Tamandua tetradactyla: one gene and its partners. The protein of the gene in region 3 purifies or fractionates together with the protein of the main gene of each other region. This does not show direct contact. Links are inferred from orthologs where the notes say so. Each region holds a gene or a part of one and is shown on either strand. Other genes may lie near its edges. The genes, in order: RASSF3, MAP1S and STK4.

Region 1 (7,189 bases), on a different chromosome or scaffold from region 3:
AGAATGTTAATATAGAGAAAAAAATAAAAAAATAATAAAAAATAAAAAAATATATATATGAAAAAAGGAAAAAGAAAAAACAAAAGACACAAACAAACAAACAAAAAAAAACTATAGCTCAGATGCAGCTTCATTCAGTGTTTTAACATAATTACATTACAATTAGGTATTATTGTGCTGTCCATTTTTGAGTGGGAGCTTCTTAATGACTGATTCAATTTCTTTAGTTGTGATTGGTTTGTTGAGGTCACTATTTCTTCTCGAGTCAAAGTTGATTGTTCATGCCTTTCTAGAAAGTTGTCCATTTCATCTACAATTGTCATATTTATTAGCATAAAGTTGTTCATAGTATCCCGTCATTGCTTCCTTTATTTCTGTGAGGTCAGTGGTTATATCTCCTCTTCCATTTCTGATCTTATTTATTTGCATCCTCTCTCTTCTTTTTGTCAGTCTTGCTATAGGTCCATCAATCTTATTGATTTTCTCATAGAACCAGTTTCTGGTTTTGTTGATTTTCTCAATTGTTTTCATGTTCTCAATTTCATTTATTTCAACCATGGCTATCTTCATAGTTGCCACCATCACCTCTAAATCCATTATATCCACCATCAACTCCTCCATGACTACTTCTGCTGCTACCACCTCCTTCGTCACAGCCTCCTCTTCCACCAAAGTTCTCCCCACCTCCAAAGTTTTCTCCACAGCCCACAAAGTTGCCAAATCCACCTCCATGACCTCTTTATGATCCAGCAGACTGCATCTCTTGTTTAAAAAGGGCCTTTTTCACTTCACAATTATGCCCATTAATAGTATGGTATTTCTAAACAACAATTTTATCAACTGTATAAAATGATCACTGAAAGTTACAAAAGCAAATCTTTTTTTTTTCCACTCTGCCCATCTTCCATAACTTCTATGATCTCAATCTTGCCATACTTTTCAAAGTAGCCTCTCAAATTATATTCTTCTGTATCTTCTTTAATGCCACCAACAAAAACTTTCTTCACTGTTAGTTTGGCACCAGGTTTTGCAGAATCTTCTCTAGAAACAGTTCTCTTTGTTTCCACTACACGCACATCAAGCTTGCATGGTCCAGCACACAATGCTGCATCTACCTTGTCAACACAACAGTAAATCACATAACCAAAGCCTCTGAAATGTTTTGTTTGGAGGTCTCTCATCACTATTAAATCTATGAGTGTGCCCCATTTCTCAAAATATTCTCTTAAATTATCATCCATAGTTTCAAAGCTAAAACCACCAAGAAACAGTTTTCTCTACTGCTCTGGTTCCTTTGGACCATGGCCCTCAGTTTTGAGACTGTGCTCGCCTCCTTCAATTTGGGTTATGTTAAAATTAGATATCTAAATTCTTTAACCTGTATATCACTCATAAATTGGAGTATTTAATAAGGATTACATTCATGAAATAATGAAAAAATGGCACCAAATAAGAAAAATCTTTCATAAAGTCAGAAAACTGCCCTATTGTTTTATATGAGATTATGTGCATGGCACACCCAGGGATTAGTTTAGACTGGGCAAAACAATGCCCTGGTTAGAATTCCTGATTTCTAACCACTCATTAGCTGTGCAGCCAGGAAGGGTTTAATGTTGTGGGACCTTTAAAATGACTGTTCTGTAAGGCTGGCCTCATAGAGTTGTTGTGAACCATGTAGGGTAATATACCAATTTCCAAGATGGATGTGGTGAGAGGGCATAAAGGAAAGCAGAGGCCTTCTTTTAAACTGGGGATAACTGACTTAAAAAAAAAATTATTAAATTTTTTTTATTAGAGAAGTTGTGGTTTTGCAGAACAATCATGCTTAAAATATAGGATTCCCAACCACCACCCCAACATCAACACCTTGCATTGATGTGAAACATTTGTTAAAATTGATGACAGCACATTTTTATAACTCTACTATTAAAGTCTATGGTTTAACTTAGGGTTCCATGTAATGTAGCTCCGTGGATTTTTTTTCTAACTTGTATTCTGTTATCACATATACAATCTAACATTTCCCTTTTTAATCATATTCAGATGTATGTTTATTTCAGTGCTGCTAATTGTGTTCACAATGCTGTGCTACCATCACCACCATCCATTACCAAAACATTTCCATAATTACAAATAGGAACCCTGTACATTTTATCTTTTTTTTGAACCCTGTACATTTTAAGCCTTAAATTCCCATTCCCTTTCCCCACCCCTATTCTAGATTCTAACTCTAGCAGTTGCTTATTCTAATTATTTTAAGTTAGTGAGATCATACAATATTTGCCCTTTTGTGTCTGGTTTATTTCTCTCAACCTGATGGCTTCAGGTTCATCCATGTTGTCCCATGTATAAGAACGTCATTCTTTTTGGGGGGGGGAGTGGGGGGGACAGGGAGGATGTGCATGGGCTGGGAACAGAAATAAGGAGTTCTGCATGGTAGGTGAGGATTCAACCACTGAACCACCGTGCACCCAACTCATTCCTTTTTACAGCTGAATAATAGTCTATTGTATCATATACTACATTTTATTTATCCATTCATTGGTTGATGGACATTTGGGTTGTTTTCATCTTTTGGCAATTGTGAATAATGCCATTATTAGCAGCAGTGTGCAAATATCTGTTCTAGTCTCTGCTTTTAATTCTTTTGGGTGTACACCTAGTAGCGGGATTGCCGAGTCATATGGTAATTCTATACTTAGCTTTTTGAGGAACCTCCAAACTGTTTTCCATAAGGACTGCACCATTTTACACTCCTACCAGCAATGGAGTGTTCCTATTTCTCCATCCTTTCTAACACTTTTTTTTTTAATAGCAGCCATTCTAAAGGGATAAATGATTCCTGACCCATTCTACTTCTCTCCGTGCTGCCATGCCACAACTGAGCATGGCTAACTACCCAACAATCTTAAGGCCTGTAAGGATATCTTGAAGACCCTCAGCTCAGCTGAAAGCAGAGAGAATGCCAGTACTGCTACCTAGGGCTACCTTCCTCTCGCTAAATATCCGCTGCCCCAGGTGTGAAGGAGACAGAAAATAGAACTAACAGAGCTGTTTTGAGGATTAAGGGAGATAATGTGAGGAAGTTCAGCTATAACGGGTGAAGTTTTTCTTTCTAACCCTCCTCTTCTCTTCTTTCCCATTCCTGAAGTTTCCTTACTCCTGAGGCAATGGAACAACCTTCAGATCTGTACATACTGAAATTAGTATGATTTAAACCAGTTCAGTATGCGCCAAGGTGTAAATCACTGGTACCCATTGGTGGCTTGGAGGGTGATTGTGCATTTTAAAAGATGATTCGCGATTCTCCGCCCATACACTACCCCCACCCTCCCCTCGCGAAAAAAAGTAAAAGATGATTCGCCATCTAGTAGAATTTCACAAGGACGCTGGCTGAATACAATTCACTGATGCCCCCGCCCCCACTTAAGCCATGTCTTCTTGTAGGGGACTGTATAAGGCTGATTCTGGAAGGAAACATTTAAAAAGCACACGATTGTTTAAAACATTCCCTAACTAGATAGCTAGCTCATCGACCCCAGCCCCTTGCCCCACGTGGCTCCAAGATCATAATGACCTTGGCCGTCCTCGTGGGGAGTGACCCCTCGCTAGAGAGAAGGCGGACGGGGAAATTCCGAAGCTCGACTGAATCACTAGAGAGGACGTTTTAGTTCGAATAAACCCAATCTAGTGAAGAGCTACTCGCCAGTCTCCGATAACTTTTAGCCCTCTTGGAACAACGAGCTGCTCGGGTTCAGGACCGGGACCCCTCGGCCAGACAACTCCACCGCCACCCGCAGGGCCCAGGAAGAGAGCGAGCCGGGCGGGGACCGAGGGGAAAGCTCCCAGCTCTGCTCAGGCCCTCCCCTAAACCCGGGCCTGCGGAGTGAGGGGCGGGCGGGCCGATCACAGAGAATTAGGCAGTTTCCGGGAGGTTGGAAAAGCGACCCAGAGCACAGACCTACCAAACGCAGCCCTCGAAGGAGGCTTGCCGGGCGACACAAAACCTGCTAGGAAAAAGCACCGCCTGGAAGGGGCGGGCTGTGCAGCCCCCACCTGCGGCCGCGCGGGGAGTGTTTGCGGTGGCGAAGGGAGGGGCGGAGCCGGTGGCCCGGCCCCAGCGGGCGGACTGCGGGGCGGGGCTCCGGGAGGCGTGGCCGCGGGCGCACCCCGGCAGGGGCCGCGCCTGGAACCCAGCGGCTAGGCTGCTGGAGGGCCCGGACGGCCGGACCGAGCCGTAGCTGCAGCTGGACTGCCCGCCGGCGCCTCGCGGCCCGGCGCCGGGAACCTTGCAGGTTAAGAAGGCGCGGCGCGCCCTGCTTGGCCGCCTGCGCCCCGGGGAGGCCTGCCGCGCGCGACGGGACCAGCACCATGAGCAGCGGTTACAGCAGTCTGGAGGAGGACTCCGAGGACTTCTTCTTCACCGCCAGAACCTCCTTTTTCAGAAGGGCGCCCCAGGGCAAGCCCCGCGCCGGCCAACAAGTGAGTGGCGTGCGCCGCGGTTGTTGGTCGCGCCCCATCCCTCTTGGGGGTCCAGCCGCCCGGGTCTCCCTGAAACTCCACGTGCCTCCGTTGAGCACGCCTGGAAGGAGGCCGCCAAGAAGTGGCTTCATCCTTTTTGGATCCCGGGGTCGTGCCTTAAGCTTGTGCATGTGGGCGTGAGGGTGAGCGCATGGGGCCCCTGGGCGAGGAAGGAGGAAGAAGGGCCGGGAGGCTGAGGCTCCCGGGGTTCTGCCTTCAGCGCCGGATGACCTTCGCGGCTCCGTCTGGGGGCTGCCCGGGGCCGCCGTCCTCCTGGCAAAGCCAGGGCGTCGAGTTGTCTACGGGGGAGCAGTTCCGAGTGCAAGGAGGCGGCTCTGGCGTTTCCCCTGTGCCCATGGTGGATAAATAGTCGGGTCGGCCCGCGGACCGCCACTCCTGATCCGTTTAGTGATCCCCTGAGTGGCTTGGGGGTGGGGGCGTGTAATAGCCAGAGGTGGCTGCGGTGAGCCTGCCGCCCCTCTCTTCCCGGTCCGGGCTCATCTTGGGGAGGCCGAGGGACGTGCGGGGCCTGACGACAGTAGGCGCTCAAGAAATGGTGGTTGCGGGAGTCAGAGTTGTGCGTTTCTTGTAAAGCCAAGTTCGTAGAAGTCGCGAATGTTTTACAGACAAGTTCCGGTGTTAGGTTGATGTTAGCGCTCGAGAGCTGAGATTTAGGGCGTTCTCTTCCTTTTTTGGAGGAAGCGTGCCGTGGGAAGCATGAAAAGTTGGGACAGAACTTGGACGGGTTTCGCCGACCGTTAGTGTTTTTTAGGGAGGTCTTCCCAAATTGGGGCACTTGGGCTGACTTGCAAGGGTGGTGCTTGAACCCGCTCCCTCCTGGCCCTGGGAGCCGCACCAGGGAGCGCCGCCAGCCCAGCGGTACTACATCAGATTAGGGAAGGCTGAACTGGAACAGAATTGTTTTTAAAAAACAACAGGCGCGCACCGAACATTTCTAACAGCCTTAGTCCTAGTGAGTAGATTAATAATAACAAATAATCTTTCCAGGACCCGGATAATGAGTTGGTCGGCTGGGTGGGGGTTGTGCCAGGGTTTCCTTACCAGATCTTTTATTTGACCTCTTTCTGAGGTCAGATTTCTTTTGAAGTTTCGAAAATTCTAGTCTTTTCAACCTTTTGAGTTCCAGACCAAAGAGGGAGAGAAAGAGAGAGCGAGAGAGTAGAGTGCAAAAGTGAAGTCGAGCGCCCTTATTCAGTAAGAACGGTTAATCCAGAGTGAAGTCCCGGTGCCTTAGTTTCCCGGTCTTTATTGTTTCTGAGGTTTAAGGTCGCACAATTTACTAGTCACTTTGAGTGATCTCTTATTTTCAGTAGACTGTGTTCTGATGATATGAGATTGCTGTGAAGTTTGGAAGCCAGAAACATCCTCCTTCCCCAATCGGTTATGGAAGAATTGCATTTCCTTGTGCTGTTTTCACTTTGCTTTTTTCTTTTTCTTGGCCCATTCTTTCCTCCCTTCTATTTCTTTCCTGTTTTGGCTCTGCGTTTTGTCCTTCCAATAAATGTTGCTGTTACCATTTGACATGCAGTTGTAGGAGATGGTTGTAGTTTGAAGTCTATCCCCGAGGTGGCCTGTAATTTACAGAAAACTTGCTGGTTCTTGGGAGTCTCCTAAATAAGAGGCTACTTCATAAGGGCGCATGCAATTCCATGCATTCTCATGAATCCTTTAGGGCTTTAAAAAGTAAAAACATCCATTTTTTCCCTAGGTTTATACACACACACACACACACACACACACACACACACACACACTGTTTCTATGTTATGCTTTAATTTATATAATAATTCATTTAACGTCTTTATAGTCATAATATCTTTCATTTAACAATTAGAATTAGTCTAACAATATGTATTTTGAAATTCTGGGATGGTATGACCTAATTCCTTGCTTAAAGAGATAAGTACATGTAATCTGAAGCTTTAATGCCTGCATATTTTCCCCTTTAATTTAACACATGCAAGGTTCTGAGTGATAGGACTTATTTGCCAGGTGGAGAAAGTATTATGAATCCTGAATCTTACTTAGGTTGGTATTTTGGTTTGTTTAAAGAAGTGACTTGAGTGAATCTATTATTCCTGATAGCATTTCTTAGTTAAAGAAATGAGTTACCGTAAATATAAAGCCAGATACCCTTAATTTGGAACATTTCTTTTACCTAAGAGTAGGTAAGCCTGTTTTTATTTTATTATGTGGTAATTATAAAGAAATAAGATAATAAGCAATTTGTACAAGCAGTGTAGAAAAGGTGTCATCGTAACAATCTTATTATACATAATAGTGATTTTTTTTTGGTGTCATACCACCTGGTGGAAAAGCTAGGAAAATGTGGTTTTTAGAACTCTTGAAAATATCAAGAGAAAGCGAGATGTTTGTGGTAAAGGCAGGATGGGGAGAAAGGGTGGGGGTGGAGATAAATTTTTTTTGCCAAATAAAAATGTATCCCAACTTTTTTTGTCTCCAACAATAACAGAAACCTTATATACACACACAAGAAAATGTTATCATTGCTTTTAATTTTATTTTGATATTTTTTTCTATTAAGAAAAAAAGATTGTGCATGAGTAGTTCAGTGGTAGAATTTCTCACCTGCCATGCCAGGCTTTTTATGGCAGTTTGAATGTCATTTTTATGTTGTATATCTGGT
Region 2 (7,281 bases), on a different chromosome or scaffold from region 3:
CCTGATCTGCAGTGGGAGGGCAGGTTAGGGGACTCCCGGGCTGGTGGGCCCAGCCAAATCCAAACTGCATGGGCCACCCCCCACCACTCCCATTCTGCCCTGCACCCTCCACCCCCCACCTCGGCCCCTGCCATCGCCCCCATCTCCCTGCCTCCCCAAGCAGACTGCGAACCCAGAGGGGTGGACCCAATCCAGGGCCACCCCATCCCCCAGGGGGGCACTGACTTAGGGTGAACTTCTGTGGACCAGGAGGGCACAGGGAGACAGGTGGGGGCCCCTCACCTCCTTATCCTCCAGGATCTGGAGGAAGTGGTGGGATGAGAAGCCCCCGGTCTGTAGCAGCAGCTCCCCTGTCTCCTCCAAGCAGGGCCCTGCCAGCACCAGCAGCTTGTGAGGGGCGGGGTCCAGCAGAAGGTTCCGGAGCTGCAGAGGGGCGCAGTATTAGGGTACGTGCCCCACGAAGGCATCCAGCCCCATCATTCCCTCCGTCCCCACCCTGTGTGGAGAAAGCAGTCTCTGGACCTCCAAACCCCACCCCCCAGCAAACTCCTGCTCATCCTACAAAGGCCCTGCTCCTCCTTAGCTCCTTCCGACCCAGTACTGATGTTCTCTCCCCCGGACCACAAGCTCTCAAGGTAGCAGAAGGAGTGAACCTGGGAAAGGTGTCCAGTGGCTGCCCAGGGCTGTCCCTCTAAGAGGCCAGATGCCCACAGCTGGGGGCCTGGATAAGCACGTCTAGCCAAGGGGGCTGGGAGCTAATGCTGGTCAGGTCTGGCCTGTGTTAGAGAACTGCCTTTACCCCCTGGGGGAGGCTGGGTGGGGCCATCAGGGCTGCTTCCTGGGAGTAGGGAGAGGATCTGGGGCAGAGCAAGGTGGGGGCCCAGGATGGGGTCCTGGCAGCCCACCCGCATGTCCTCACCTCCTCACACAGGGACTTGTCGGCCGCGTTGAGGAGCACCAGGGCCTCCAGGGCGTCCCCACGGTGGTGCAGGCTTCGCTGGCCTATGGGGGAGCCGGGCCATGGGCAGGGGCCACCGGGAACACCCGGTTAATGAGCCCCCCCCCCCCACAGGAGGGCTGCAGGTGGGGATGAGGCTGGACCCCAGCCCCAGAGTCAGGTCAGGACCCCCACCCTGTGCCTCTACCGGGAAATGGGGTCCCCACACTGGAGGGCCACCCCTAACCTAAGGACACAGAATGACAGACACACGGAAAGATGGCCACTCTGTGCACCTTCACCCTGGCCTTCTGGGTCCCGGGACTGTGGTGAGTGTCTGTTGTTTGAAACCCCTGAGGGGGCCACTTGCCCCCATTTGAGGTGCCAGGGAAGGGCCCGAGGCAGAGGCCCCAGGGGAGGGAGGTGGCATAGAAGGGAGCGAGGGCAGCAGCCGATAGGGGCTGCAGGACATCAGGAGCCACGAAAGTGGTGAGTCCAAGCCCTGGTCTGTGTCCCCAGAGCCCGGGCATGATCCTCGCGGGCCAGGCCAAGGCTGGAGCTGTGTCCAGTTGGCACCACCCACCTGCCCCTAGCTCCTGCACACCATGCGCACTTATCACGTGTGGACACAGCCCGCTCACAGGTGGGAAACCGAGGTACCGCCTGGGTACACAGCCCTGCAACCCACAGGCGGACCGAATGCCCAGCCTCACCCCTGCAAGGGTTCAGGAAGCAGCTGGGATGGGGCTGCGGTCACTTCCTTCCCTGCCCAGAGGCAGGAGTGACTCAGCTGGAGCCTCTGGGCAACACGTGGGCCCCAGTGGGCAGCCCCCGGCCTCTACTATGCTCCTCCTTGGCTCCCCACTGCTGAGCACCTACTGTATACCAGGCCCTGTGTGAAGCAGACCAGGTCCTGCCCCTGCAGGGCCCACACTCAGCCCCAGGGGCCACCAATCAACTGGATAAGCCCTTCCCGCTGCATCTCAGCCACAGGCCCCCTCCTCTCCTCCGGGCCCTCACACCTCGGTTTCCTCATCTGTAAACGGGGGCCTTGGGGTGTCTGAGGATGGAGGGGGCCCTATGGGGGCTCCTATCCCGTTGTTCTCACATCTGGCACCCCGGAGGAGCTGGGGCAGGCAGGGACCCCTCCTCACCTTTCACGATGCTGGAGAAGGTGGCTGAGTGCCGGGACACAAAGATCTTCAGTTGCTCATCCAGGCTGCAGATGCTGGGGTCCACGTCCCAGGAACGGAGGCCTGGGGGACGGGGTGAGGGTCAACCGGTATCCCAGGCCCCCTCCTCCACCTACCCTGCAGTGCCATGGGCCCCTGCCCAGACTCAGCATTTCAGACTCAGATGTGGCCCTCTCCCCTGCCTCCTCTCCCCTGCCTCCTCTTCCCCTCCACCCCACCAGGCCTGGGCTTGGCCACAGCCCTTTGGGGCCCACCTGTCACTGTACCCCATACCCTCTACCCAGCCAAGAGCTCAGCACAGGTGCTCCGGACACCTCGCCAGGTGTGCACCGCCCCTCTGTTGTACAGGAGGCCCCGGGAGGGGGCGCGACATCGCTCCCAGCCCCCGTGCAGTTTCACGGCACCAGTGCCAGGATAGCAGGTGAACCCTACAGGTGTACCCGTGACTCATCTGCCGGCTGCCAGGTCCCGCAGGCCTCCGGCCCACGCCCCAATTAGCAGTCCCCGCAGCAGCCAGGGAGGAAAAGAGCGCCCTGCGGGCTCCAGGCCCGCCGCCCTAGCTGCTCTCGGTCCAGGCCGGGATTCCCAGCTGCCCACCAGGCCCCGACGTTGTCCCCACCCCGCCGCGGCCGAGTGGGTCCTGCGCTGCAGGCGAGGCGGCCTGAGCCGGGTGGGCGCCCGGGCCCCTGGCGGACCGCGGGGTCCGGGGCGCTGGGCGGCTGGGGGCTGGGACCGGCGGCGCACACGCGCTCCCCGGGAGGGCCTCGGCGGGGCGCGGGGACAAGGCCCAGGCTGCCTGATCGCGCGGGTCGCAGGCCCCGGGCGTGGCCCCCACGGCCGTGTCCGCCTCCCCCAGCCACGTCCCCCCGCGCCCGCGTCCCCGCCCGAGGGCCCGACCTCGCTCCAGCTCGTCCAGCACGTAGGCCAGCAGTCCCGGGCGCCCGCACTCGCCGCCCACCACGAGCAGCAGCGAGCTCGGCGCCACCGCCGCCACCCCGGGCCCCGCCGCCGCCGCCGCCGCCGCCATCTTCGCGCGGCCCCGAACCCCGAGCGCCGCTCCGCCCCGCCCCCCCTCGCGTGACATCACCCACGACCAATCGGACGCGGCGCTCCGCGCGCAAGTCCCGCCCCTTAAAGGCGCCGGACGGGTGGGTTGCAGCCCCCGCTCTGCCCGGAAGTGCCCCCACCTTGCCCCTTTGTCTGCCCCCTCCTGGGCCTTCGAGGTTGTGGGGAGCTGGGGATGGGGCGCCGCTAAAGGGGCTGGCCGGCTCTGGGTCTCCGCCTTGTGCCGCCCACCTGACCGTTCATTCGTTCATGCGTGTATTGATTCAGCAAGCATTGGCCCTGTGGCTGCCGCGTGCCAGACAGAGTCCCTGCCCTCGGAAACTCACATCACATCACTGTGGGATAATCAGAACCCAGCCTAGATGCTCCCAGCCCCCGGACTCAGGACTTGACCAGAGAGAATTCATCTTGTCCTTAGGGTTTTGCGGGATGCATAGGAGTTCGGTAGGTGCGTGGGGAGGGTGTGACTGATGGAGTACGGATATGGCCAGGTGGAAGTTAGAGCACGTGGAAAGTTTCAGAGGTAGGAAACTACAGTGGCGTTTGCTCCACATCACTGTAGCCCCGAAGCAGGGTGACACACTTATTTGGCACCTTCTGTGTGCCAGTCATTGTACTACCTCAGCTCCTCGAATATGTGCACAGACCTATGAGGTAGGCACAGTTATGGCCATTTCAAAAGAGAAGAAATAGGCTTGGAGAGACAAGTCACCAGGCACATAGCAGTAGGGCCAAGACTCCAATCCAGGTCAGTCCAATTCCAGACCCAGCCTGTGGCACTGCCTGCCTGGCTCCTGAGTCTCCCCCTTTCCTCCCCCAAACAATCGTGTCCGGCCCTTTCGTCCATGGCCACCACTCCTGTTACAGTAAACCTCTGGACAGTTGGCTGTGTCCAGGCAGGGCTGGGCTATCTTCTTTGGGAGCGAGCTTCCCATTTATGGAAGTATCCAAAGCATAGCGGGTCAGAGATGGGGAAATTCTGCAAAGCAGCATCAGCCTCCTGTTCTCTGGGTTGTTCAGCCCGACTTCCTGCCTGGCAAGTGTGTAACGGCCTTGGGGGCCCACTTAGAGTCTGACCGTCTGACTTCCTCTCTCCTTTGCGCCCTGGTATCCTTCCCATATCCCTTCCCTCCTCCTTTGCGCCCTTCCTCGAGTTGTACTCATGTCCTAGGGCCTGTGATTTCCTGATTATTACTCTGACAGGTGATGGGGGGTTGGGGGGGAGCATCTGTGCCGGGCTGTGCCCTTGTCCGGTTGAGGCCATCTGGGTCCCTGGCCTCATGCAGGAGCTCAGAGTGGGTTTGTCTACTGTCCCTTCGCCAGTTGGGCTTTCCGTGGGTGTTGACTGGGTCTGAATTTGCACCTAGGACCACCTGGCTGGACTCCACGCCCTTACCTGTGCCTGAGGCTATAGCTTGTGACCTTGGCATTAATTCTAATCGGTGCTCAGATGTGTCTCCACCAGGAGACCCATTTGCAGCACCCCCTTCAGCTTCTGGGGTCCAGCCCATCTCAAAGTCCCCAGCACAGAGCTCAGAGCAGTGCTCCTGCCCGCCCCCCCACCCCTGTCCCATGCCCATGGCCCAGAGGCCCTCAGGGATGCCCGAAGCTCTCAGCAAAGCCCGGCCCCAGCAATCCTGTTTCCTTTGGACTGTCAGCCATGGCGTCCATGGGGTCAGGGGAGGTGCTTGAGGAGGGCGAGGGCCTAGGTGGGTGCTCCCAGCCCAGCCGCACCTTGGCCTCCCTGGCTGCAGGGAAGGACCCCTTCCCCCGGCACCCCCTGCCCACCTGGCTGCAGACCTCACACACCTGGGCCACACACACTGTGCACCTGGGTGTGCCATCTTGGCCCCTGGGTGCACAAGGAGTGGACGTTTGCTCCTTTTCCCACCGTGAGCATCGCTGGAAGTTTTTTCTTGTATTGTGCAAAGTATACCTAGCATAAAATTAACCATTTCAGCCTTCGTAAAGAGTGCGATTTGGTACATTAGCTACGTTCACAGCAGTGAGCACCCATCTCCACTAGTTCCAGAACATTCTTGCTACCCCAAGGGAAGCCCGTCCAGTCAGCAGTCACCGGCGACCCCGTCCCCGCCCCAGCACCTGGCCTGGCTCTCACTCGCCTTCCGGGGCCCCGCGAGTTAGTCCTTTTTCTGGCTGATCAACACCCCGTTGTGTGGAGCCCACATGTGCTTGCCCTCCCTTCTGCTGCCAGACCTTTGGGTGGTCTCCACCTGATGCCGCCAGGACGTCTGTGAACAGGCCTGCAGGACCTCTGCAGTCCCTTTGCCTCTGTGCCAGGAGTGGGATGGCTGGTCCCGCAGCTCTGTGGTTCATTTCTTTTTTTCTTTTTTTTAAATTTATTTATTAATTAAAAAAATAAAGAAACAAAATAAAGCAACATACATAATCAGTAATTCACAATATCATCACTTAGTTGCATATTCATCATTTCTTAGAACATTTACATTAATTCAGAAACAGAAATAAAAAGACAATAGAAAAAGAAATAAAACGAACACAGGAAAGAAAAGAAAAAAAAAAGATTATACCTACCATACCCCTTATCCTTTGCTTTCATTGATCACTAGCATTTAAACTAAATTTATTTTAGCATTTGGTCCCCCTATTATTTATTTTTATTCCATATGTTCTACTCCTTTGTTGACAAGGTAGATAAAAGCAGCATCAGACACAAGGTTTTCACAATCACACAGTCACATTGTGACAGCTGTGTCATTATTCAATCATCCTCAAGAAACATGGCTACTGGAACACAGCTCTACAGTTCCCTCCAGCCTCTCCATTACATCTTGAATAACAAGATGATATCTACTTGATGCATAAGAATAACCTCCAGGATAACTTCTCGACTCTGTTTGGAATCTCTCAGCCATTGACACTTTGTCTCATTTCCCTCTTCCACCTTTTGGTCCAGAAGGTTTTCTCAATCCCTTAATGCTAAGTCTCAGCTCATTCTAGGGTTTTTCTCAATCCCTTGATGCTGAGTCTCCATTCATTCCAAGATCTCTGTCCCACGTTGCCAGGAAGGTCCACACCCCTGGGAGTCATGTCCCACGTAGAGAGGGGTAGGGTGGTGAGACTGCTCATTGTGTTGGCTGGAGAGAGGCCACATCTGAGCAACAAAAGAGGCTCTCTTGGGGGTGACTCTTAGGCCTGAATTTTAAGTAGACTTGACCTATCCTTTGCCGGGTTAAGTTTTATATGAACAAACCCCAAGACTGGGGGCTCTGCCTATAGCTTTGGTTGTCCACACTGCTTTTGGGAATATCAAGAGTTCAACTTAGAGAAATTGAATTTCTCCCCATTCTCATGTGGTCCATTTCTTAAGGAGCCACCCCCTCCACACAGCACAGCACCCAGGCCGTCCCACCGCAGCCACACCCACGCGTGGCTTTGGGGCTTTTTAATTGTGAACATCGGGTACCAGCTTTTCACTATGGACATTCGAATGTTCCCAGTTTGGGGCTAATAAAGCTGTTTTTAGCCTTTTCATACCCCTCTAGGCGCTTGTACCCTCTTCTCGCAGCGCCAGGCGTTCCCAAGTGGCCGTGGGAAGGCTGCCTGCCCATGGCCTCGCCACCTTGTGGGCATGGGCTCATCGCCTCCCACCCCCACCCGCCAGGGCCTCTCAGCGCGGGAGTGCCAGTTCCCGAGGAGGGGCGAGGCGTCCTGGGGTCCCAGACATAGGAACCTCCTTGTGCCTTGGTTTCTCTGCCTCTTAAACGGACATAACAACAGCCGCCATCTTTGAGGGTCATTATGGGATTTAATTAAAACATGCCGAGTGTGCAGCCTGGAGCCCCCACAAGTTATTTTTGTGATTTACCATTTGACTTTGGACTGACTGGCCACAAATAGCACCCCGAGTAGACAGCTGGCACTGCACACAGCCAGGGTCTCCCCAGCAAGACCTCCCCCAGGCCTGTTTGCAGATGCACCGAGATTGGACTAACACTGGTCTAGCCCACATGGGGCATAGGTCTGTGCCCTGGAGCCAAGGCGCCACCTCGATTTCTGCACCTCTAGCCTGTCCCTAGGCCTCAGGGTGCAGCCGGGCCTGTG
Region 3 (7,048 bases):
AATGAATCACACGTGGCTGAAATGCTACAGAGTGGATTTAAGCATGAGAGAGAATCTTTAAAGCCCACTTATATTAAGATTCTATGATTCAAATGACATAACTAACTTTTGGGAAAAGATGTGAAAAATAATAGGCACATGGAAGTTTCAAACTAGCTCACAAAAATCCTCCAATGAGCAGCCATGTACCTTTGACTAGTTTCAAAAAACAAAGGTAAAGGGCACCTTACAACCTCCAACAGTAATTCAAGATTTTTCTGTTTAAGCTAGATAATCATAACAAACATGGGAGGCATACAAACATACTTTTTTAAATTCTGGGATCTGTGAAAATCAAAGCCCAGAATAAGTACATCCAGTTTTTTTTTTATATTTATATTATTAATAGGCTTAAAGAAGGAGCTTGCTAAGGAATCTGTGTATGTGTGTATGTGTATGTGCCTCTTCTACACAATGGCTTCCTGAAACTGCAAAGGACAACAAAGAAAAGTGAAGTAGGGAAATGGTGAAACATGGAAGTAGTCACATTGTAGATTTCTTTGTAAAGAAGAAGGTTTAAACTAGTTGGATAATATCAATTCTGATAAGACTTGAATTAAAAACATATATGTACATATACACATACACACACAAATATGTAACTTCCTAGAGAAATAGCAAAACCAGAAGAGAAGGCAATAAAATCCGAACACATCAAGTATATCTACCAATAAGCATAGATCTTAAAAGGACAGTCTTACAGAATTTTATATCAAGGACTAGGTACTAGAGAAATGGAGAACTGCTCCAAGCAATAATTGCCTTAACCTCAAACTTAACAAAACAAAACGACCATGCTGACCTTTGAAAATCAAAAGGTCCAAAAAATTAAATTCCAATGATATCATAAAAACTCCTAGTTTCAAAACATAAAAGACTGATGTGAAACTACTCTTAAATTTCAGAACTGAAATTTCTATGAAATCATAAGTTAGAACGAACATGTCATAAGCCAGTCATTTAGTTTTTATTCCTTGTGTCTTGTGTGTTTTTTGAAGCCCTAAATTATAATTATATAAACAATGGACAATACCTCATTTCTTAAGTACGATTAAAGTTTTATAAACAGTTTATCTAAAGGCAGATTCATGTGTTCCTTTGAATGTTGACTCTTTGTGGTCACAAAAAGCAAAACTCACTATTTCAACTACTACAGAGACCACAGCATAACAAAGGAAACTGCCACTGCCACGAGAGAAATAGCTGCAAGCCTCCAATAATACACTGACAGACAAACTTTATATGACTGCTCAGAATCCATTTAAAAAAAAATCCAAGTGGCTTTTTGTTAGTGTGTTTTTGGTCTAGGGTTATTTAAAACAACTTGAACTCAGGGGACCGTTATATCTCTGGTGCCTGGTAACCAAAAGGTGACCAATAGATGTTTACTAAATGGACTGAGTGTAATGATGGGAATCATAACCTTTATCAACAAGCTGTGAGTTTTCAAAATAAAACAGAACTTCATCTAAAAAAGTATTACTGGATTATCAATTAATAAGATTTCTAAAAAAAAATACTTTGATAAGTGAATCAATGTAATTTCCTACCATGAGTCTAAGTAATATTACCCAAACAGCCCAATTGTGAAGATGCAGCTGCCTCAATAGGGACTTCCCAGGTACTAGGCAGTTTCGATGTTGGCTCATAAACGATAGCGGTCTGGCCAGCACAGTCTCCATGGGCCAGATACGGCTGGGTGGTCCTCTCCTAAGTCAGAAGGCTTCGTGGGTGCCCAGCATCCCAGGAAAACTCTCTACACCATCCATCAAACCATCATTATTTAATGGTAACTCACCTTTAAAAATCATTAATTCCTATATAGGACAATAACTTTCAATCTGCCATCATTCACTCAGACACATGCAAATGTCAAACTTTGAACACAAAAAGCATTTCCTGCCTTGGGGTTGCTACCCCTTGCCTGCAATGCATACCTTCTGAATCTCCGAAAAGACCCCTTTCCAAACACAAATAAGGGTGTTTGAGAAGTAGTCACTCACAAGTTTGGCTAATACTCAAACCTCTACCTCCCATCTTAGATCTCCTGTAAGGGGTATTTTATTTATGTACACCTATCCTTCTTTCCACAAAGAATTTGATGTCGGTTACAACAAATATACAAAATTAACTAACAATTTTTATAAATGACAATAAAATGTAGCTACTGCAAATTAGGCACTCCACTGGTTATGATAAGCAGGAAAGTGCCAATCAATCAAGAACTCAGTCCTGCAACGCTCTTCTGTTGCATTTTTGATAATTTTTTTTTAATCCAAAAGATACAGGAATGGACATAGTGATCAGCACTGATGTCAAAAAGCAATAGGCTTACTCCTTTGCCCAAGATTACACAACACAAAGCAGAGTAGAAATTCAGATTCCTAATCCTTTTTCAATTAAGCCAAGGCCTCACTGACTCAAGGAAGAGAAAGAGCACACACATTTCAGAAAAAAATACATATAACCAGTATACAATAATAAATGGATTGCTACCATGCTATAGCAAATATCTGCTAACATAAGGCTTGTGAAACAAGGGTATTTCCGGAGGGGCAGCAGAGTGAGGCAGTTAAAAGCTCTGACTTTGCACTAGGTTGCCTCGATTAAAACCCCAGCTCGACCACTGACTGCAGGACCTCGGGCAATCACTAATCCCTCCATGCCTCAGTTTTATCATTTATAAAACAGAGAGCTAGGGATATCCACCTCACAGAATTGTAATAAGGATCAAATGAATTAGTAATAAATTGAACCATACGAAATTTCCATTTTTATAGGTCAAAAATCATCAAATGTCAGCAATTTCATACAGTCCACACAAGTATAAGGGGGTAAGAATCATCCTTATAACAGCACACTACGCTAGAGAGAATTATGAATCCATCCCAACCATTTATTTGCCTTCTGCAATGTTTGTGCACTTCGATCGACCCCAAGACTCCAGCCCATGCTGTCAATCCCTTTCTTTCACCTCTTCACTGGCCCACCCACTCAGCACTTCCTACTTTAGCGCTCCTTATGCTACAGGAAGTCAGAGGTCTCTACCAAATAAAAGCTAACTACAGCGCACCTCAGAAAAGCATGGCTCTTTCAGTCTCTACTCCCCACTTTTCTCTAGATACAGGAGAGTGGCATAAGACCCTGTGTCCACAGAGCAAATCAATAATAAAACTGCAACCAGACCCAAGATGTTAGACTTGATCAGTCACCTCCCTGATGTTGGCCTAAAACAATCCAAGTATCTCTAAGATCTGGAGCTGATAGTCACAAAACAGTAGAGGCCTGAGAAGAGCACAGTCAGACCAGATCCAGAGACCCGGACCCAGATCAAAAAGGGAAACAATTAGAACTGTGTCTCAACTCTTCTGGGCTTCACACTGCTCATCTTGAAAAGATCCTCTTATTTCCTAATCTATCTCCCAAAGTGGGGTTTGAAGGGATGAAGAGGATGTGAGGAAAATTAGGAAAGCACTCTGGATCTGAGGAATGACTGATGCCGTCATCACCCTAAAGTGGGGACAGGACACCACTAAGAGCATCCCTCTTGCTAGACTTTTCTTCACACTTCAGACTTAGGCGCAAGCTTTTCCCCTCAACATAGCTCCGACACGCGACTCCCCAGGTGGGACTCTCTCCCCTCCCTTAGAAAGTCCACCCGGTCTTCCCCTCCGCTGGTACCTTTAGAAAGATTCCTCAGAGGTTCGCATCCCACTTCAGTACCTCCACCACCACCACCAACCCCAATCCCAGTTAAGTCCCTTCTTAGCTAGCCTTCCCCAAGTGGTCCCCGCCCTCAGCAGGTGCTCCAGTCAGCGAGATTCCACCCCCTTTCCCAAGAGGTCCCCCACAAGTGCTCTCCCTGGCCAGTCCCACGTTTCTCCCCTTCGACGGGCGGGCCCCTCCGCCGAACCCCAGCCCCCAGAGATCCCCCACTCAGCGGGTGCCCCCATCAGTCCAGTCGCTTCACCCCCGCAGATCCCATCTCTCCCGGGCTTCCACACAGCCGTCTCCCTTCAGTCAGCTCCCACCTTTTCCCTGCCCCCCAGGACCCTTCCTCTCGGCCAGTGCCCCCTCACCGGCGCGGCGGGTTCCTCAGCTGCACCGTCTCCATGGCGTTGCCGGCAGCCGCCCGAGCCCGCTCACAGCTCCATCCTCCCCCCGGGCCGCCTCGAGCCCGCCCCGCAGACCCTCCCACACTTCCGCTTTCCGCCCCTACCGGAAGTAGCGCGCCGCGCGCGAGCCGGGCGGAGCCGCCGAGGCCCAGGCCGGAGAAGCCGGGCGTGGGTCACGTGGCGCTGGCCTGAGTCACGTGGCGGAGCTGGGGGCGGGGGGACCCTCTAACCGAGTCCTTTTGTCGCGCAGCTCGGGCTCCAGTCTGGGACCTCATCTCTGTCCGGGGCTGGCCCCCCATTTCTCAGACGGAGATATTGAGGCTTTTTGCGAAGCGCCGACTGGTTAAGAACTGTCGGTTCTTAACAACCCAAGTTCTACGCGCGTTGTGGGCAGCGTTCCTCCAGGAGTGCCTGAAAAGGTTTATGCTCCTCCTGTTGTTCCAGATCTTGTCCCAGATGGGGATTGGACTGTGCACATCAACTCGTTGTTGTCACAGAACAACAGCCTGTAAATTGCCCCACCCTCTCTCTTAGCTTCGCCTTTGAGTCAGTTTGTAGACACAAAAATAGTTAACGTTTTTCAGCACATGCCATGTGCCTGCTTTCATATTAATGTCATTTAATCCATCAAGGTCTTAAAGTTATCCCCGTTTTTATGTATTTAAATAATTATTTGACAAAGAGTGCTTGGCAGCATTCTCAGCGCTTTGCTAATTAGCTCATTTAATCCTAACGACGCTATACTATTATTATCCTCCTTTTGCAAGCCCGGAAAAGTAAAATATTTTGCTTCAAGGTAGCACAGTTAAAAGTAGAGGTTTGGAAACTCAGTCCAGGTCGGTTTGATTCCAGAGCCTACACCACTAAACTGGAAAAACCCTAATGTCTATCCTCTGGTTGAGCAAGACGTCTCCATTTGGAGCTCCAGTTCCAGCTATGACAAGTCAAAATCCTCAGTTGCCACCACTATCAGTGAGTGTTAGGAAAATGGCAGATTCTTCCCAGTGGGGAAGGTTACAGGAAAAAAATTATCTAGAGCAAACTCACTGGTTTTAATTTTCCTTATCCCAGAGGGATACCATCTACAAAACAACACCTAAGATAATGGAACCATTCACCTGCGAGGCCATTTGCGAAAAAAAAACTTACTGAGAATCGACTTTGAGCCAGGCATTGTCCTGACTTTTGACTTAACCTTCAAAACAACCCTAAGAATTATCTGTAGTTTATAGGTGAGGACTCTGAGACTCACATATACACAGCTAGTCAGAGCAAAGGTTTCAATCCAGGACTGTCCTGACTCCATAGCTTCCGTGTTTTATTTGCCACATTGCTCTATCAGAAATTTGTACAAGTGGCGGGTGGAGTCCTAAGAAAGGAAGAATCAAGGAGAGTTGTACAATGCTCAGGAGGGCATTACAAGTCTCTTGTAAGGAGTCAATCCTTTGTCTTCTGAAATCCTGTAGCATTTTTCCTTTCCTTCTCTCAAAGCACATTTTTTATCTTATGTGCAGGCCCTGCTGTAAGTGGATTTTTTACCCCTTGCTGGTCAGTTCTGTATCATAAGCTTGCCCACACAGCATAACAGGCATCCCTGTACGTGAGAAGGTATTCGGTAACATGAATTGTGAAAATAAATGTCAGTTTGCCAGTACATGGTTGTAAACAAACATTCCTCCTTTGTCCACTTCCTGGGATTATTTCAGAAGATGAACCAAGATTCGAATGGCCCTCTTTTTCTACAGATTATCCAGTCCAGCACTGTCTAATAGAAATTTGTGTGAGGATAGAAATGTTCTGTATGTGTGCTATCCAAACCTGTAGTCACAAGCTACATGTGGCTAGTTCAACTGAAAAACTTTTTTTTAATATTTTTATTGAGAAATTTTCACCTCCATACAGTCCATCCACAGTATACAATCAATGGCTCACAATATCATCACATAGCTGTGTGTTCATAACCATGATCAGTTTTTCACCATTTGCATCACTCGAGAAAAAAAAACAGAAACTCATACATCCCATACCCCTTACCCCTCCTCATTGACCACTAGTATTTCAATCCACCCAAATTTTTTTTCCCCTTTATTGCCCCCTATTATTTGTTTATTTTTCCTTACTTTTTTACTTGTCTGTCCATATCCTGGATAAAAGAAGCATCACACAGGAGGTTTTTACAATCACACAGTTACACTGTATAAGCTATATAGTCATACAACTGTCTTCAAGAGTCAAGGCTACTGGAACATAATTCAACAGTTTCAGTTATTTCCCTCTAGCCACTCCAATGCACCATAAATGAAAAAGAAATACCTATATAATGCATAAGAATAACCTCCAGGACAAACTCTCAAATCTGTTTGAAATGTCTCAGCCACTGAAACTTTTATTTTGTATCATTTCTCTCTTCCCCCTTTTGGTCAAGAGGTCTTTCTCCATCCCTTGATGTGGGTCCCAGCTCATCCCAGGAGTCCTGTCCCAAATTGCCAAGGAGATTTACACCCCTGGAAGGATCAGGAAAGCTTCTCTGAGAAAGCTGGGACAGTCATTCATTCATTCAGATATATACTGAGTGTCTTCTCTGGGCCAAGCATGCTACTATGTGCCAGGCAGTGAGCAATATAGATAAAAGTTCCCGCCCTCATGAGTCTCACATTCAAGTTGGCAAGATCAACAATAAACAAAAAGCAAATATGTAATATGTCTGCTATTAAAAGAGCTATGGAAAGAAAGAAATCAATGTAAGAAGTGTAGAAAGTGAACAGAGGTATCACTTTAGGTAAAGGAATTAGGGAGTGCTTTACTGAAGAGGCAGTACTTGAGCAGAGATGGACTAATGAGAGTAAGTCACACTAATATCTGCAGAAAGACTATTCAGGGGCAAACACTTCTGT

The links.
Region 1: the proteins of STK4 (region 3) and RASSF3 purify together in Homo sapiens (affinity purification with mass spectrometry; 5 studies listed by BioGRID and IntAct, with this or other methods). This does not show direct contact. The link is inferred for Tamandua tetradactyla from reciprocal best matches to the Homo sapiens genes STK4 and RASSF3.
Region 2: the proteins of STK4 (region 3) and MAP1S purify together in Homo sapiens (affinity purification with mass spectrometry; 3 studies listed by BioGRID and IntAct, with this or other methods). This does not show direct contact. The link is inferred for Tamandua tetradactyla from reciprocal best matches to the Homo sapiens genes STK4 and MAP1S.

Annotation. Positions count from the first base shown.
Region 1 is NC_135333.1:132,455,518-132,462,706, forward strand, and holds the start of RASSF3 (ras association domain-containing protein 3), read left to right. Parts: upstream 1-4,189; 5' UTR 4,190-4,371; coding exon 4,372-4,482; intron 4,483-7,189.
Region 2 is NC_135337.1:96,482,876-96,490,156, forward strand, and holds the start of MAP1S (microtubule-associated protein 1S), read right to left. Parts: upstream 3,158-7,281; coding exon 3,028-3,157; intron 2,194-3,027; coding exon 2,092-2,193; intron 1,003-2,091; coding exon 920-1,002; intron 424-919; coding exon 283-423; intron 7-282; coding exon 1-6. UniProt on the Homo sapiens protein: Microtubule-associated protein that mediates aggregation of mitochondria resulting in cell death and genomic destruction (MAGD). Plays a role in anchoring the microtubule organizing center to the centrosomes. Binds to DNA. Plays a role in apoptosis.
Region 3 is NC_135327.1:7,195,837-7,202,884, forward strand, and holds the start of STK4 (serine/threonine-protein kinase 4), read right to left. Parts: upstream 3,020-7,048; 5' UTR 2,992-3,019; coding exon 2,933-2,991; intron 1-2,932. UniProt on the Homo sapiens protein: Stress-activated, pro-apoptotic kinase which, following caspase-cleavage, enters the nucleus and induces chromatin condensation followed by internucleosomal DNA fragmentation.